Mus musculus: one gene and its partners. The protein of the gene in region 2 purifies or fractionates together with the protein of the main gene of each other region. This does not show direct contact. Links are inferred from orthologs where the notes say so. Each region holds a gene or a part of one and is shown on either strand. Other genes may lie near its edges.

Region 1 (4,186 bases), on a different chromosome or scaffold from region 2:
CATTAACAATAACCTCTTTAAATGTTTTGATGAATACACGCACGCATAGGCGTGCACACACACATGCACACATATATACACATAAGCTATTTTATATTTCTGGCTTAATTTTGTGGCTATTTTTAGATTTATATATTTATCTTGTGAGTGCCTGTGTGTTTGTAAGTGCAGGAGTTTGCAAGCCATAGTGCATGTGTGGAGGTCAAGGAATAACTTCCTGGAGTCGGTTCTATCCTGTCAACTCATTGGATGCCAGGATCAAACTCAAGTTTTTTGGCCATCACGGCAAGCACCTCCACTCTTTGAACCATCCTGGCTCATTGTGGATATTTTTCTAAGTCAGTCACATCAGCAACAGTTTAAAAGAGTAACGCCCCATTGAGGGAGACTTCTGAAATATTCAGACTCCATTATCAAATGTTGCAGTGACTCAATATATGTACATTTGATTCATGCATCTATTTGCTTAAAAAGATATATGCATCTCATTGTATGGCCCTCGTCCGTGGGCTCTACACACCAGGCTGCCCTCAGAGATCCATCCAGCCTCTGTCTCCCGAGTACTGTGATTAAAGACTTGTGCCACCACCGCTCAATAACCTCCTGGTTACTCGTAAGCCAAATAAGAGCTTTTACCTTTTAAGTTAAATCTTAGCTGCTGTTGCTATTCCTATCTTTAGGCAAGGAAACAGAGACGCAGATAATGCAAATTGCCCAGTCTACTCCTCTATAGTAGGTGAGAAGTCTGGATGCAAAGCAACATTCCTTCGCCACTATCAACGCAATTTTGCAGATAAGAGATCGTGGTGAGACGCTAAACTAAAATCCCCGGTCTAATAGTGAACGGTGACAGCAAAAGTAAAAAAAAAAAAACAAAAAACAAAAAAACAAAAAAACAAAAAAACAAAAAACAGACTTGATGTGTTCCTCTCCTCCCCAAGAAAAGAAAACGTACAGAACGCGTTAGTAGACTCCTTATTCCCGAAACACGAGAGGTATTCACTAACTCTCAACGCTATTCCCTAAAATGGTCAGTTTGCCTGTACAGAGCGGATTGGCAGTCAGGCTTCAGCAGGGAGGAGCTCGGCTCTGCAACTCAGTCGTGAAATTCCAAGAAGCGCGGGAGCTCCCAGGCCAATCGGGTGGATCTTTCCGGCCGGCCTCGGAAATCTGGACAGCGGCGTCATCAGTTCCGGGCGTGACGTTAGCTCACGCACTGAGCCCGCCCTCTGGGAGCGCTCTGCGCTTGTGCACCTCCAATAATCCGGGAGTTAAGCCTCAGCCCCGCCCACTGTCCCGGAAGTGAATACGGAAGCGCCTCACACCCCCTCTGCCGGCTGGGGCGCAGCCATTTTAATTCAAATCTGAGTGGGCGGCGGCGGCGGCGGCGGCGGCAGCGGATTTGGCGGCGGCTTTGGCTCTGAGGGACAGGGGTAGTGTTCCTGGTTTTGGTGGGGTTTGCCTTTAGTTTAATTTTCCTTTTCTAGCTTCCCTTTGCCGGCTGGTGCGTACGTTGTAGTCCCCCGAGGCCATGTCAGGAGACGCAGCCGCGGAGCAGGTGAGGAACGGGAGCGGTGGGGCCTCGTGGCGACCTCTTCTCTCTCTAGCCCTGTGGGTGCGAGCACCCCGTTCGCGTGAGCAAGGGCCCTGAAGAGCTAGTGAGCCCGGGGATCGGGAGCGCATCCCCCGAAGTCTCCCAGGTTTGGGCTTCTCTGTGGCGTTCGTACGAATAAGTATGGGACTTAGACAATGGCAGAGACGTCGCTTCGCCCTGGCCATTGCAGTTTCTTCGGTCGGGACGGTGTATTTCATACCACTTTAGTGTTCCGGTAGTCCCAGATTGTTCTAACGTGTATCTGCGCTGGCAGTGTTTTCCTCGTCTGCCCCCCAGTCCTCTGTCCCCAGAAATAACGAAATCAGTCTGGAAAATTCGGCCCCCGAGAGAGCGAAGGTAAAAAGAGCCACGGCTCTTCCGAGCTTTGGGGGAATTTTGTGGATTCGCTTTCTTCCCCTCTCGTTTAGGAACACTTTATTTTTGCTTTTACGACCACGCAAACATTGCAGAATTTGGTAAACTGAAAACTCGAAATGTGCTTTAGTCACTGTAGGCACCATCTGTTTGGATGGTTAGATATGAATGATACATAAGTATTTTACAAATGGGACTTTTAGATAGGAGATCTCACCCTTTTGCTGTTTGGCTGTTTGTTTGTTTTGGATAGGTTTTCACAGTGTAGCCCTGACTAGGCAGGACCTTCTGACAGGATTGCTTCCTTGGCCTCCAGGCGTCCATCTCCATGTTTGGTTCTTTTGCTCTTTTATATCCTAAATTTTGTAGGCTAGTGTTTGGCTTTTACTGTAAAAAACAAAACTGAGTTTTTGAAAGGTGTGTGTTTTGATCTTGATCCACGTATATTTAGTTTTAAAAGAAAACAAAGTCCTAAATTTCTTATTGCTATAGCAATGAAATACGCTTGTATTTTTATTTCTTTTCTTTTTCCCAAATCCCCAGCTAATAAAATAGAAATTATTGGAGGTTGACAGATGAGGTAAAATAGGACTGTATGTTAATGAAGTGTAGGCAAATTAGAACTTAATTACTTTGGTGACTGAAACGCTTGAGGACCAATTTAATTCCAAGTCTTGGCAGTGCTTTTGCATTTTATCTAAAGTCAGGGTGCCCACGAATGCAGTGTCTTTGAACTATTTTTCTAAAACTGTTTATTTTACTCTACTCTTACCGGGCTGGCATTTTTATTTTCTGAAAGTGAAGGAGTGGTGTTGAGGTTTCATTGGATGTGTCTGAAATTCACTGTTTTATATAAATTTGTAAAGACAAAAATTTGCCATGCTTTTGTTTTAGAACTATGCGGGTTTTAGTTTTTGTTGTGGGTCATCCTGCTCCACCCCAGCTAGAGGTTGAACCCCGGGCCTTATGCATGCAGGGAAGCAATCAACCACTGAGTTAAAAGCCTTAGTAACACAGTGTGTGATGTTTTCTATGAGAACTGTGATGAGACTTTATAAACCTCCATTCTCCAAACCCCTTTTATTTTGACAGTTGCCCCTATGTAGGCCTGGCTGGCATGGAACTTGCTACATAGACCAGTCTGGCTTTGAACCTCTGCCTTGCTGAGTGCTAGGAGTAAAGATGGTACATGCACATCTAGCCTTTTTTTTTTCTTTTTTAATCTAGGAGTACTGTGCAACTCAGGCAGGTCTTGAACTCATTGCAATCTTTCAGCTTCAGCATCTGTAACAGGCATTCCTCCTTTGAATTTTATTGTGCAGTTTACAACAAAAGTTGAAGGGAAAACTCATGAACACTCATTATAATTTTCACCAAATCCAGCAGGGTTACAGGTTTTGTCTGTCTGTCTGTCTGTCTCTCTCTCTCTCTCTCTCTCTCAGGGTTACAGGTTTTGTCTCTCTCTCTCTCTCACACACACACACACACACACACACACACGAGTGTATATATATATATATATATATATATATATATATATATAGTATTGCAAGTATGTATTCATACACATATTTCTTGTGGCTTAAAAGCTAGGAACTTCCTCATATTAGGCAAGCTCTACTATTGACATATACCTCTAACCTTGACATATTTTCTTTCTCCATACACATTTCTTTGAAAGTTGACTTATCACATTTCAGTCCAAACTATTTCAACATTCTTTTATATAATGACATTAATGCTTTTATGTAACTACCATACCATTATCCTACTCAAAATCTAGTAATGCCTTATTGGGGAGTGAGGGGGATTGCTTTTGTTGATGTTGTTGTATAACAGCTCTTGGAAGATCAGGCAAACCTCCAACTCAGAGATCTGCCTGGCTCTGCTTCCCAAGTGCTGGGATTAAAGGCATATGGAACCTATCCTGGCTTCTGTATTATTTTTTTGAGATAGGGTCTTGTATACTTTGAGGGCAAACTGGCTCAGTTTGTAGCTGATAAATGACCTTGAACTTCAACCTCCCAAGTACTGATCATAGGTTCTTTCCAGTGCACCTGGCTCAATAATGATGTATTTCTAACATGTCCATATTCAGATTTGCCATTGCCTCAAGAGTGTGATTTATAGGGCTATGGATGTTGCACAGTTGGTAAGAGTGCTTGTGTCACACGCACAAGGCTCTGGAATCCAACCTAAGTTCCTAAGCACTAATTA
Region 2 (3,989 bases):
CTTATGTATAAAAATACCCAGTGTACAAAATGTGGAAGAAATGGTGCCTACAGTATCAACTATTTAAGCTCAGGGAATTATATCCATTAACTCCTTGAAAATCTGATGCGAATGATTTCGTTGATACTCGAATGCCTCCTCCCACCTTCATTTGTTTCATCAACTCAAACATCTGTTCTGGTGGAAGACTGGCAACTGCTTTGCTAATGGATTCAGGGGCATCCTCAGGGCTGATGCTTTCTCCATAAGGTGACTCTATGACAGGTGCACCAGTGCCAAGGCCTGATTAGGAAGAAAGTAGAAGAAAGTCAGGATGGTCAAGTAACAACCCAAGTCATTTCAAGTATCTATTTCCTAGGGCTGCTGGAAGCACCAACCAATAACTTGGAACTCTTTGGAGCTGAGCCACTCAAAAATCTTTCTGCGAAGGAAAGTGAGGGTCTACCTTCTGTTCTTAGTGGAAAGCTACGACAGTGATGGTAATATCATCATTTACTTCTTCCATAAGTCACTCCAGAAGAAAAGCACTGAAACCGACAAAGGCTATCATTTCAACAGAGTATTTGTGGAAATGTCTTGAGGATTCCCCACCAGTTACTAGTCTAGCAACACAGAGAAATAACTGATGGCTTAGTAGATCTGCATGTCCCTTACACTGGAAATTAACTCCTAAGGAACAGAAAGATCACTACAGCCAAGTTTCTTAAACATAGTCAACCCCTCATTCAGGTGCCTCAGGTCTAAGAAGCTATTCATTCCGCTCATTACCTCAGCACCTTCTAAAATATCACGGAAAATGCAAAGCTTCCACTCGCCCATCTTTACTCTCATGTGATGCACATGGCTGGGCCTTATACTCACTCTTCAGTTCCTCCTTGTTCTTTTCACTGGCAGCATTATCCACTCGAAGTGCTCTCCCGCTGAATTCACGCCCATTCAAGTTCCGCATGGCACTAAGTGCTGTCTCTTGGTCTTGGTACTCGCAGAAGCCATAGCCCTTTGGTTTTCCTGTCTCCCTATCGTATACCAATCTGCAGACCAAAACCAAGTATTAGGAACTCACACAGGCTTCCTGCTAACACTGCCATAGTCTTATTTAGCCCACTCTGACTGCTTTCTTGGCTCGGAAACATTTTTAATGAAAGAAATCTTTCAGGCAAGACTGGATATGAAGTATCGAGCATGTGCATGTACCCCCAAAATTTGTGCTTTTGAAGACTCTCACAATGAAGACTCCTGAAAGAGGATCTCACCTGAAACTAACAACAGGCCCAACCTCAGAGAAAATGTCCTTCAGTTGTTCTTCAGTAGCTTCATAAGGGATGTTTCCCACTAAAGAAGAGACAACGTATTAAAATTTTGGGGCAGTAACTGAGCTCTTGAGCGAGCAAGTGAACAGTAGGCTTTCTATCTGCATCAACACATAGGCAATAACTGACTGAACAGCGTTCTCCAAACCCCCCCTCGACCACTGTCTCTTTTCAGATCTTATAACAAGGGAAATGAGCCAGAGAGTACATTTAAAAAGGTACCTTTCAAACAGTTCTCGTAGTGATATGACAAATAAAAGGTTTATTTGTCCCTAACTGTGCTGGAAGTAAAATCTTTAAACACTGATATTTCCTCAAAGCCCTTAACAGTGGGGGGATTGTCTCCTTATTTTCATGTATACACACACACACACACACACACACACACACACACACACACGTATGGAGGAAAAGCCGTGAATACAGCACAGGATGCTTAAAAATTATCCTGTGCTTAATTAAGACCCTCACGATGACGAGACCGTTTTGTCGTGTCTCTTTCAAACAGTGCTTATTTCTTGTTATTTTTTTGTTCTGAGAAAGAATCTTGTTATGTAGCTCTGGCTGGTCTTGTGAGGTAACCTAGGCTGGCCTTGAATTCGAAGCAATTCTACTGCCCCCAAACGTGCTTTAAAAGCAATGCACGTATCTTAGAAATAACTCATTTAAACCCTAAGAATTGCTTAGTTGCGCTCCTCTGAAATCGCCCTGCGCTTTAATCATTTAATCATTCATTCATTCATTCATTCATTCACAACCCATCTCAAGATGCCAGGTGGCCGCTACCACTATGGTTGGATGGAACCAAGTAAAAAAAAGCAAGCCACATAACACGTTTATGAGAGGGCGGGAAGTGGCTATGGGGGTCGATGGATTCAGAATAAAAATCTGTATTTTGGGGTAGGAGAAGCAGCACGGAACAGGGACACTCTGTTTCCACGCACCTTTTCTCCTAAAAAATAACTGAGAATCATGAAGGGGGGAAAAGAAACCGCAAGAGAAGACACCGGCTCGAGGCTGGCTCCCTGAGCCACACTGCGGCAAAACCTCCGGTACCGTGGAGCCGGAGCCGGAGCCGGGGAGATGGCGGGGGCGGGGGATCGTGTGTGTCCACGAGTCCGCCGGGCTGCAGTGCCAAAGGACAGCAGCGAGCCCGCCCGCCGGGGACACCCGCTCCGCTCCAGACGGGGGACCGCAGGGGACGTCCCTCCCCGAGCCGAGGCGCCTCGGAAAATCCTCTCACCGAAGACGGAGCGCAGGGAACGATCCACCGCAGGGTCTCTCACTGGCAAACCCGCCATGGCTCACCCCCGAGGTGGCTTCCGGTGCGCTAAAGCACACTTCCGCGGCCGAGCGAGACCACGGCCCAGCCCGCCTCCGTCCGGTGGGAGCCGGAAGCACCTGGCCCCGAAGCGCCGCCGCGGAGCCCGGCCGCGCGCCTCACCGCGGTCGTTCCCGCCAGGCGGCTCGGCCCCGGGGGAGGGGCAACAGGCTGCAGGAAAAGGCGGAGGCTCAGGAGAAGCGGCGTGAGCGGCGTGCCGCGGGGCGGGGCCAGGCCCGAGACGACGTCATAAGGGGGTGGGGCTAGGCTAATGTGACGCCTTGGAGCCTGCAGTAAGAAGCCATTCTTGCAGAAGGTCGCTTTTCGCTGGCGCCCACCCAAGCAATTACAAACATTAACTCCGCGAGCTGGATATGTGGTTCATTTGTAGAAGGCTTACATAGATAGCATGTATGAGGTCCTAGATTAAATCTCCAGCAAAACACATCCCATATTAGAGGAATAGAACACACACACACACACACACACACACACACACTTTATGGAACATGTCTCAAGATGTAATTCTGGTAAAGAAAGGAAATTCCATTTAAAATCACTATGTGACTGATAGAATACCTTAGATAATAGAATTATCCAAAGCCAGATATTTGCAGCTCTGTAAGAAGCACAGTATCAGAGTTTTCATGAGTCACAGTTCGGAGTGGTGAATTTTCGCTAAATGAATATGTAATGGCGACGTAGGTTCCTCACCTAATGCTTTCAAAATCTCATCTAGACGAAGTATTTGCTTGGGTACTTAACTATGAATAGCGGTTTTCTTGGACCTCCACTCCAATCTAGAGAGTGAGATTTACACAGTAAACTGGAGAGTCATTTTTCAACGAGTGCCTCTGGTGGTTCTCAGGGCTATGCAATCTGGGAAATATAGTTAAATGAAGTAGTTTTAGGACAGCCTTTGGTAGAGCCATACCGTCTTTTTTATCCGCACATTGTTAAGTAATAGCTGCACAGCTCTTTCCCTTGTGAGGGAGGACATTTGGAACTATACTGGAGTGGTTTTGGTTTCTGGATGCCGAGTGACACACCACTACTGGAAGAAGAGCCCGAAAAAGCAAACATACTCTCACGTGCAGGGCTCTGCTCCAGGGAACCCCTCCCTCACTCCATCAGTGCCGATCTTTCTGTGAGAAACACATTGTATGAGCTCTACTGGAGAAAGCAGACATTGGCTCTAAGAGCCATGCTGTGCGTGCTCAGGTGCAAGCATAACTTCTATGGCTTCTATGGCTCTCTCCCAACTAGGCAGCTAATTCTGATACAAGCTGACATTTGTATTTGCTCCACGTTCTAGTTTTTGTGGGCGGCACTGAGGTTCTTGTGCTCACAACTAAGCC
Region 3 (3,585 bases), on a different chromosome or scaffold from region 2:
TTTAAAATTCCCTTTAAAATGGTACAGAGTAGTTATAATTTTATATTATTAATTTGGTATTGAGAAAAATACTATAAATCCTGTGTGTCCGTGCCCTGTATGTGGTTCCTAGAGGCCTTCTTTGTTATGTCTGTGCATTAAGCTCAGGGGTGTCTTGTGTTAGATTCCAATCATCTCAAGCTTCACATTGTGAAGCATTTAAGGACTCACAGAATCTAGACTTGTAGTTGTGGGTGAATGAGAAGGATGGGAAATGAAGTAAATGGTGAATGAAGTCAGATGAATTAAGGTGACAGTAAATTCTAGGTGGGTTTAGAGTTAACTAGAAACAGAAGCTGTATTGTGTCCGGCCTCTGACTTGGAAGAGATTGTACACACAAAGGTAAAGGCTCAAGTAACTTACAAAAGAAGTAATACATTTGATTATATATAAATTTAAATTAAATATTTAAATTAAAATAGTAAAGCCATTAATCAGAGAAAATGCAGTAGCAATTAGCCAACTACTTACCTATGTATAAGACTAGGCATTGCTCAAGAAATCACAAATACACTGACTGCAAGATGGCCAAGTGTTAGTCACAAAGCAGACACTGAGATAACGTGTACTTGTTATGTGTTTAGATTATCTTAAAATACTGATAACTTTCCAGAAAAGGTTACAATACAATAATTGTATATTCTATTGAATACATTTCATGGAAAAATTTTTAAAAATACAGCCAGGTGTGGTGGCACACCTCTGTGATCCCAGTACTTGAGAGCTGGAGACAGGAGGTTGGGATTTCAAAAACCATCTCTTTCAAAGGTAAAGTGGTGAAAAAGTGCGTTCAGATAAAAATAAATGGTCAGATGAATACAAAATGGTACAGATCTCACAGGAAGTTTTTACAGTTGTGAGACAGGTGAGCGCCTTGCTATGCTCTATGCCTGTAATTCCAGCGTTTGCGAAGCTGAGGTAGGAGGAGCACACCGTCACCTAGGCTGTGTGTGTGTGTGTGTGTGTGTGTGTGTGTGTGTGTGTGTGTGTGTGTATACCCCAGTTTTCTAAAAAACCAGCTTCAGGCAGAAATGTTTTACAACTTCTAAAAGTTAGATTTAGAAAAATGTTCATGTCACAGAAAAGTCTAGAATATAAAATGGATATATAGAAATATACATGTGTTAGATGCATATAAGGGTACAGAGAAAAACTTGTATTTTCAGAAAGATTATGTCCAATATGTCATATCACCTATCTTGAAGAGGTGGTCCTTGTTAGTGTGAGGGAGGCCTTATGAAAGCGGTTTCTTATTTTTGTAATAGGTGAAGCTATTACTGTTTATTTGAAATGACAGATATTCTTTGTCTTTAAACTTTGTTATAGCCACTTAAATGGATGTTCCCTGGAAATGCTAAGCAGACCCTCTCTACTTATCACAGACTCATTTAATGCTACTTACGTGCAGCCTAGAAGGAAGCAGAGAGATGAGCAGCTCCTGAGTACGTATGCCTACCGTTCGTCTGTCGGAAAAGATTGGCTAACACTAATATTTTTCTAATTGCATTTTATACATTTTCTATGTGTATGTATGTATGGGCACATGCTTGCCACAGGGTACATGTAGAGGTCGGAGGGCATCTTGTGGAAGTCTGTTCTCTCCTCCCACTATCTGGATCAAATTAGGGTCATCAGGCTGGGCAACAAGAGCCTTAACCCATTAAACTGTCTTGCTGGCCCCATGACTCTTGTGTTATTTTAAAGAAATGTTAATGTGACCGGTTCAGCATGCTCTCTCTGAAGGTTGGCCTCCTCTGCCACTCTGCTCGTAGTCAGCTGTCCAGGCATCCACTGGTCTCTGTCTGTAGAACAACTGCATATGTACAGACCAGAAGGGCAGTGAGCCAGAGAGAAGTGACGGTGTACAAGGTCTGCTGGCTGGGTGTTGGGTGTTCTGAGGGTTATCTTGTGTTTACAGGGGTGCCTCTGAGCCATCACGTCTTGCTTCTGCTTTGACTCATTCTGCTGTGCTTTGTTATATTTTAGAAGCCATATGTGATTGCAACAGGAAAGCTGGGTTCCACTTTTAAATGTATGTGCAAACACTGATCTGTCTACTTACTAATCCACTAACCTTAGAAAACTCTTCAATTCGTGTGTGAGCGTGAGTGCGTGAGTGCACTTGCCAGGTAGAGTGTATCTGTATGTTTACGTGTGTGCTTGCCAGCTAGAAGTTTACCTGTAGCCAACTCTTCAAGGTGGCTTTGAGAACAAAGTCATCTATTGCTAGAGATGGTTTTTGTTTTTTAAGATTCATTTATTATATTTATATGAGTACACTGTAACTGTCTTCTGACAAAACATAATAGGGCATCGGATCCTATTACAGATGGTTGTGAGCCACTATGTGGTTGCTGGGAATTGAACTCAGGACCTCTGGAAGAACAGTCTCTGGAAGACCGTGCTCTTAACCTCTGAGCCATCTTCTCTCCAGCCCAAAATGCTTTTTTTTTTTCCCTTGGAAAAAAAAAACATGTTTTGTGTTTTATTCTACATGCATGCATACAAAACGTGTCGTGTATTTTATTCCTAGGAAAACATATTCAATCGAGTGAGAAGTAATTGTGTTAATCTGAACCTTTCTATGTGTCCTAGTGACCACTTACGCAGTCTTTATGAAAGGCAGGCAGCGGGAAGCTGTGCTGTGCTTACCTTTGTTACAAAGCTCATGCTTCATAGGGTTCTTCTGTTCTTGTTTAAGCAAACGTCCTGGAAACGCTTCGGGGCGACGGGAACGTGCTGATAGCTGTGGACACAGCAGGCAGAGTTCTGGAGCTTGCTCAACTCCTGGATCAGATTTGGAGAACTAAAGATGCCGGGTTGGGCGTTTACTCGCTGGCTCTCCTGAACAACGTCAGTTACAACGTGGTGGAGTTTTCTAAGTCGCAGGTTTGTTCTCCTCGTGCACCACTGAGTAAAAAGGTTGAGTGTAGTGTTTGAATTGCCCTTCAGATTTTATTTTCCTGCTAATAATAATAGTAGCCGAACATTATCTTCTTACTGTCCTGTCTTCTTCACATACATTTTTCTTTTAAACATGAAGTCTATTTTTGTCTCCACTTTGCAAATTGAACAAGTTGCTTGTTTTCTTACTCTTGGTTTTCTGATCTATAAAAATGGGGGTAAAAATAAAATATCAATGCTAGAATTCATTTTTTTTTCTTGTTTTGTTTTTTTGTTTTGTTTTTTTTTTCTGTTTGTTTTTTTGTTTCTTTCGAGACAGGGTTTCTCTGTGTAGCCCTGGCTGTCCTGGAACTCACTTTGTAGACCAGGCTGGCCTCGAACTCAGAAATCCACCTGCCTCTGCCTCCTGAGTGCTGGGATTAAAGGCGTGCGCCACCACGCCCGGCCATTTTTTTTTTTTTTTTAAGATTTATTTATTTTACTTATACAAGTACACTGTAGGTGTCTTCAGACAGACCAGAAGAGGGCATCAGATCCCTTTACAGGTGGTTGTGAGCCACCATGTGGTTGCTGGGAATGGAACTCAGGACCTCTGAAAGAGCAGTCAGTGCTTTTAACTGCTGAGCCATCTCTCCAGCCTG
Region 4 (3,458 bases), on a different chromosome or scaffold from region 2:
CTCCAGGCTGACAGTAGGAGAGACCGGGAGCCCAGTAACCGTTACCACCCCAGCTTCTGCAGCCTCTTCAGATACTCCTCATCACCTGCTCTTGCTCCCCCCTGCATCTAGATCCGAGGGATGGGCATGAACTCTCCAGAGCTGCTGCTGCTGGTAGAAAACTGTCCCAAGGGGGCAGAGACGCTGGTCACCCGCTGCCTGCACAGCCTCACCGACAAAGGTACCTGGGGGCCCTGCCTTCTACCATCCATCCCACCTGCTCTTGCCCTGTAGGGGCTAGAGCTGCTGTGTCTCTAGTGCCTGTGCCCCTCTAGTTCTTCTGTCCTTGGGCCTCACTCTGTAGTGAAAATATATGAGCTCCATTTAGGGAAGGAGAGGCTGGGATTCCGCTTTGGGACTGTCCTGCCCCTCCCATAAACTTAACTCTGTCCCCTAATCCGTGCTCATCTCCCCTGGCCCCTCCCTGTCATCTCAACTCAGCTTTTCTCTGTCTTCCCCAAAGTGCCACCATCCCCAGAACTGGTGAAGCGGGTCCGAGACCTGTACCACAAACGGCTGCCTGATGTGCGCTTCCTCATCCCCGTGCTCAATGGGTTGGAGAAGGTAGGGAAGGAGGAGAGGGACAGGTGGTCAGCCCACTTCATGGCAGATGGGCTGGAATTGCACACCTAGTTTTGAAGTAGGTCCCCAGACCCATCTCAGCCTCGTCAGTCACTGTTCAAGTGTCACAGTGGGGTGTGGCTCTGTGTGTGTGTGTGTGTGTGTGTGTGTGTGTGTGTGTGTGTGTGTGTGTGTGTGTGTGTTTGTGTGTACTATAGTTCCTGGCCTATGGGTAACACCCCAGCTTATGTCCATGGTAAATTTTGGAGCCAAGGATGGTTCATCACCATGTGGGTGTGAATGGGGATGACACTGTCCACCAGAAGTAGCCAATAGCTTTGGGGAGAGGGGGACCAAGTGTCATGACACTTAGTGTCCTCTGTGAAGTGGGTGGATGTGGGGCCACCCAGCCCATCATCACTCTCATCCCCCATCCCCTTAGAAAGAGGTGATCCAGGCGCTGCCCAAGCTCATCAAACTCAACCCCATTGTGGTGAAGGAAGTCTTCAACCGCCTGCTAGGCACTCAGCACGGTAGGTGCCCTCCCTCCTCGCCAGCTTACCTCCCAGCTGCACTGAGGCTCTCATGGGAATGGCCTTAGAGACCAGAGTCTCTGTTGTCCACCATGGTGAGAAACAAAGAAAAGTATTTGAGGTGGAAAAATAGCCAGAGATGTATATGAATGACTTCCTCATCCCTGGTCCCTGCGGCCACATACAGACATACCAAGTTTATGTGCTTATGTAGAGTTAGTCCTAGGCTGGTGGGCCTTCCCTGCCTTTTGGGTACACAGCCCAGTGCACTGAGGAGACAGAGGGGTCACAGCAAGGAAGCTCTAAAAAGGTGGTGAAGACTTGCAGCCACTTCATTTAGTCTCCTGTCCCCCAGCCCAAGAAGCAAGAGGGTTCCTCATTTGTATTTACCCAAAGCTGGCCTAAGATCCAGCTCTTTGCTGAGGCCCCTGTCCTGTCTCTCTTCCCCCTATTGCCACCCATTGCAGGTGAGGGGAACTCGGCCCTGTCCCCCCTGAATCCAGGAGAGCTGCTGATTGCATTGCACAATATTGACTCTGTGAAGTGTGACATGAAGTCCATCATCAAAGGTGAGGCACCCCTGTTTCCCCAGGACCCAGCTCCCACAGACAGGCAGGGCCTCAGTCACCCACATGGTTCTACTGCATCGAAGACTATGGCCTGATGCCTGACCTGTCCCTTCCCGGTCTCCACCCATAGCACATACACACATGTGCCTGCCTGGGCACCAGGTAGTCCTCGGGAGTACAGGACATCCCTCTTCCTACCTACCCCGAGGAACCCAGGAAGCAGGGCCCACGGAGGCACAGGGCTTCTGCAGACGAGCAGATGGCAGGCCTGAGCTGGGGCGTCAGAGACGTCCATAGTTGGGGCTTGGTGATGCTCTGGCAGGCTTCCTCTGCCCAGGCATCTCCTCCGAGCCAGGCTCTCCCTTCATGCCACAAACCCTGCCACCCACATCTCCTGGTAAGTATGCTCTAGATAGGGCACAAAATTCACAGAAGCTAAATCAGTTGCCAGGGTCACACAGTCTGAGCCAGACTGGAGCCAAACCAAGAAGGGCTCTGCTCACGAGCCTCCCCTGGGAGGAAGCCATCATTTCCCTCTTTCTTTCCTCCTCTAGAGACTTGGCCCAGAATCGGCTCTGTCCCAGGAGGGCCCTGCTGTCATCTATCAGTTAACCTCTCTGCTGACTTTAGGGTAGCTTCTTCTCTGTCCCTGCCTTTCTTGTTCTGCCTGACGTGGCTGCTTCAGGGACCGCTTCCTAGCCTTCCTCAGCAGCCCTGACAACGGGCTTGTGAAGACAGGGCAGAGGAGGCTGCAGGGAAAGGGGAGGGGTATCAGCTGGGATTGTGGGACACACACACACACACACACTTTTTACCATGCTGGGAATGAACCTAGCGCAGCCTCCCATGTGCTAGGTAAGTGTTCTATCTCTATCCACACACTTGCTTCTTGATCCTTAAATGCAATGAAAATAACCTTGACTCTATAGCAGCCCATTCCCAAGGGCAGTTTGAACATAATTGGAAGGGATTTAGAAACACAGCCATCGTGGATCCAGAATAGAAATCTAGTCACAAAGAGAGAAGAAAGGGCCCTGCCAAAAGTCATGCGGATGGCTGAAGACAGGCATCTACCTTGCACAGTCTGGCAGTTTCTTTGGGAATTCTTGTCAGTTCACAGCCTCTAGGCTTCCTAGGTACCCCACAGATCTCACCACATCTCCCTTGTCCCATCAGGTGAGAAGCCCTGGCCTCCCTGGGCCCCAGCACAGTGCTGGGGACACACTGGGACACTGATAGCTGATCCAGCCTGGCCAGGACTCAGGAAGGGCTTTCTCAAGTGGGGTTACCTTCAGCGAGCAGACCCAACAGACATGAGCCTGTCAGATCTAGGGCTGAGCAGAGGTTTCCAAGTGAGGGAGGAAACCGGCTTGGCCTCATGCACCCTCTGGGGTGGAGGACAGGCTGACCTTTTGGACGACCTCTTGGGCTGCTGAGTGGGAAAGGCTAGAGAGGCTGGGAAACACAAGAGGCTGGGTAGACAAGCTGGTGTCAGGCCCATGTGGGCAGCAGTGGAACACGCCTCCACAGCAACAGGCACCTCAAGTTCTGCCAGTCCTTTCTCCTCTGCCCTTCAGCCTATGTGTTTGCTGCAAGGTCCCTCCTCTCCCTATGGGCCTCCTCTTTACAGGATCATCCTTGCCTGCATCGGCCTCTCAGGGATGGGGGAGGTGGGCTTTCTTCTTGCTCAATAAAGACTTCCTGATTGACACACTCACATGGCCAGTGGTGTTTGGGGAAGGGCTTCAGAGGCAGC

What was found.
Region 1: the proteins of Cstf2 (region 2) and Cstf3 fractionate together in Homo sapiens (co-fractionation; 4 studies listed by BioGRID and IntAct, with this or other methods). This does not show direct contact. The link is inferred for Mus musculus from reciprocal best matches to the Homo sapiens genes CSTF2 and CSTF3.
Region 3: the proteins of Cstf2 (region 2) and Cpsf2 purify together in Homo sapiens (affinity purification with western blotting; 3 studies listed by BioGRID and IntAct, with this or other methods). This does not show direct contact. The link is inferred for Mus musculus from reciprocal best matches to the Homo sapiens genes CSTF2 and CPSF2.
Region 4: the proteins of Cstf2 (region 2) and Sympk purify together in Homo sapiens (affinity purification with mass spectrometry; 4 studies listed by BioGRID and IntAct, with this or other methods). This does not show direct contact. The link is inferred for Mus musculus from reciprocal best matches to the Homo sapiens genes CSTF2 and SYMPK.

What each region holds. Positions count from the first base shown.
Region 1 is NC_000068.7:104,589,145-104,593,330, forward strand, and holds the start of Cstf3 (cleavage stimulation factor subunit 3), read left to right. Parts: upstream 1-1,339; 5' UTR 1,340-1,531; coding exon 1,532-1,558; intron 1,559-4,186. UniProt on the Homo sapiens protein: One of the multiple factors required for polyadenylation and 3'-end cleavage of mammalian pre-mRNAs.
Region 2 is NC_000086.7:134,057,987-134,061,975, reverse strand, and holds the start of Cstf2 (cleavage stimulation factor subunit 2), read right to left. Parts: upstream 2,801-3,989; 5' UTR 2,612-2,800; coding exon 2,554-2,611; intron 1,333-2,553; coding exon 1,254-1,332; intron 1,032-1,253; coding exon 862-1,031; intron 283-861; coding exon 146-282; intron 1-145. UniProt on the Homo sapiens protein: One of the multiple factors required for polyadenylation and 3'-end cleavage of mammalian pre-mRNAs. This subunit is directly involved in the binding to pre-mRNAs.
Region 3 is NC_000078.6:101,985,892-101,989,476, forward strand, and holds part of Cpsf2 (cleavage and polyadenylation specificity factor subunit 2), read left to right. Parts: intron 1-1,366; coding exon 1,367-1,482; intron 1,483-2,741; coding exon 2,742-2,929; intron 2,930-3,585. UniProt on the Homo sapiens protein: Component of the cleavage and polyadenylation specificity factor (CPSF) complex that play a key role in pre-mRNA 3'-end formation, recognizing the AAUAAA signal sequence and interacting with poly(A) polymerase and other factors to bring about cleavage and poly(A) addition.
Region 4 is NC_000073.6:19,048,338-19,051,795, forward strand, and holds part of Sympk (symplekin), read left to right. Parts: intron 1-111; coding exon 112-220; intron 221-502; coding exon 503-603; intron 604-1,042; coding exon 1,043-1,133; intron 1,134-1,600; coding exon 1,601-1,702; intron 1,703-2,256; coding exon of another isoform or gene 2,257-2,420; exon of another isoform or gene 2,421-3,418; intron 3,419-3,458. UniProt on the Homo sapiens protein: Scaffold protein that functions as a component of a multimolecular complex involved in histone mRNA 3'-end processing. Specific component of the tight junction (TJ) plaque, but might not be an exclusively junctional component. May have a house-keeping rule.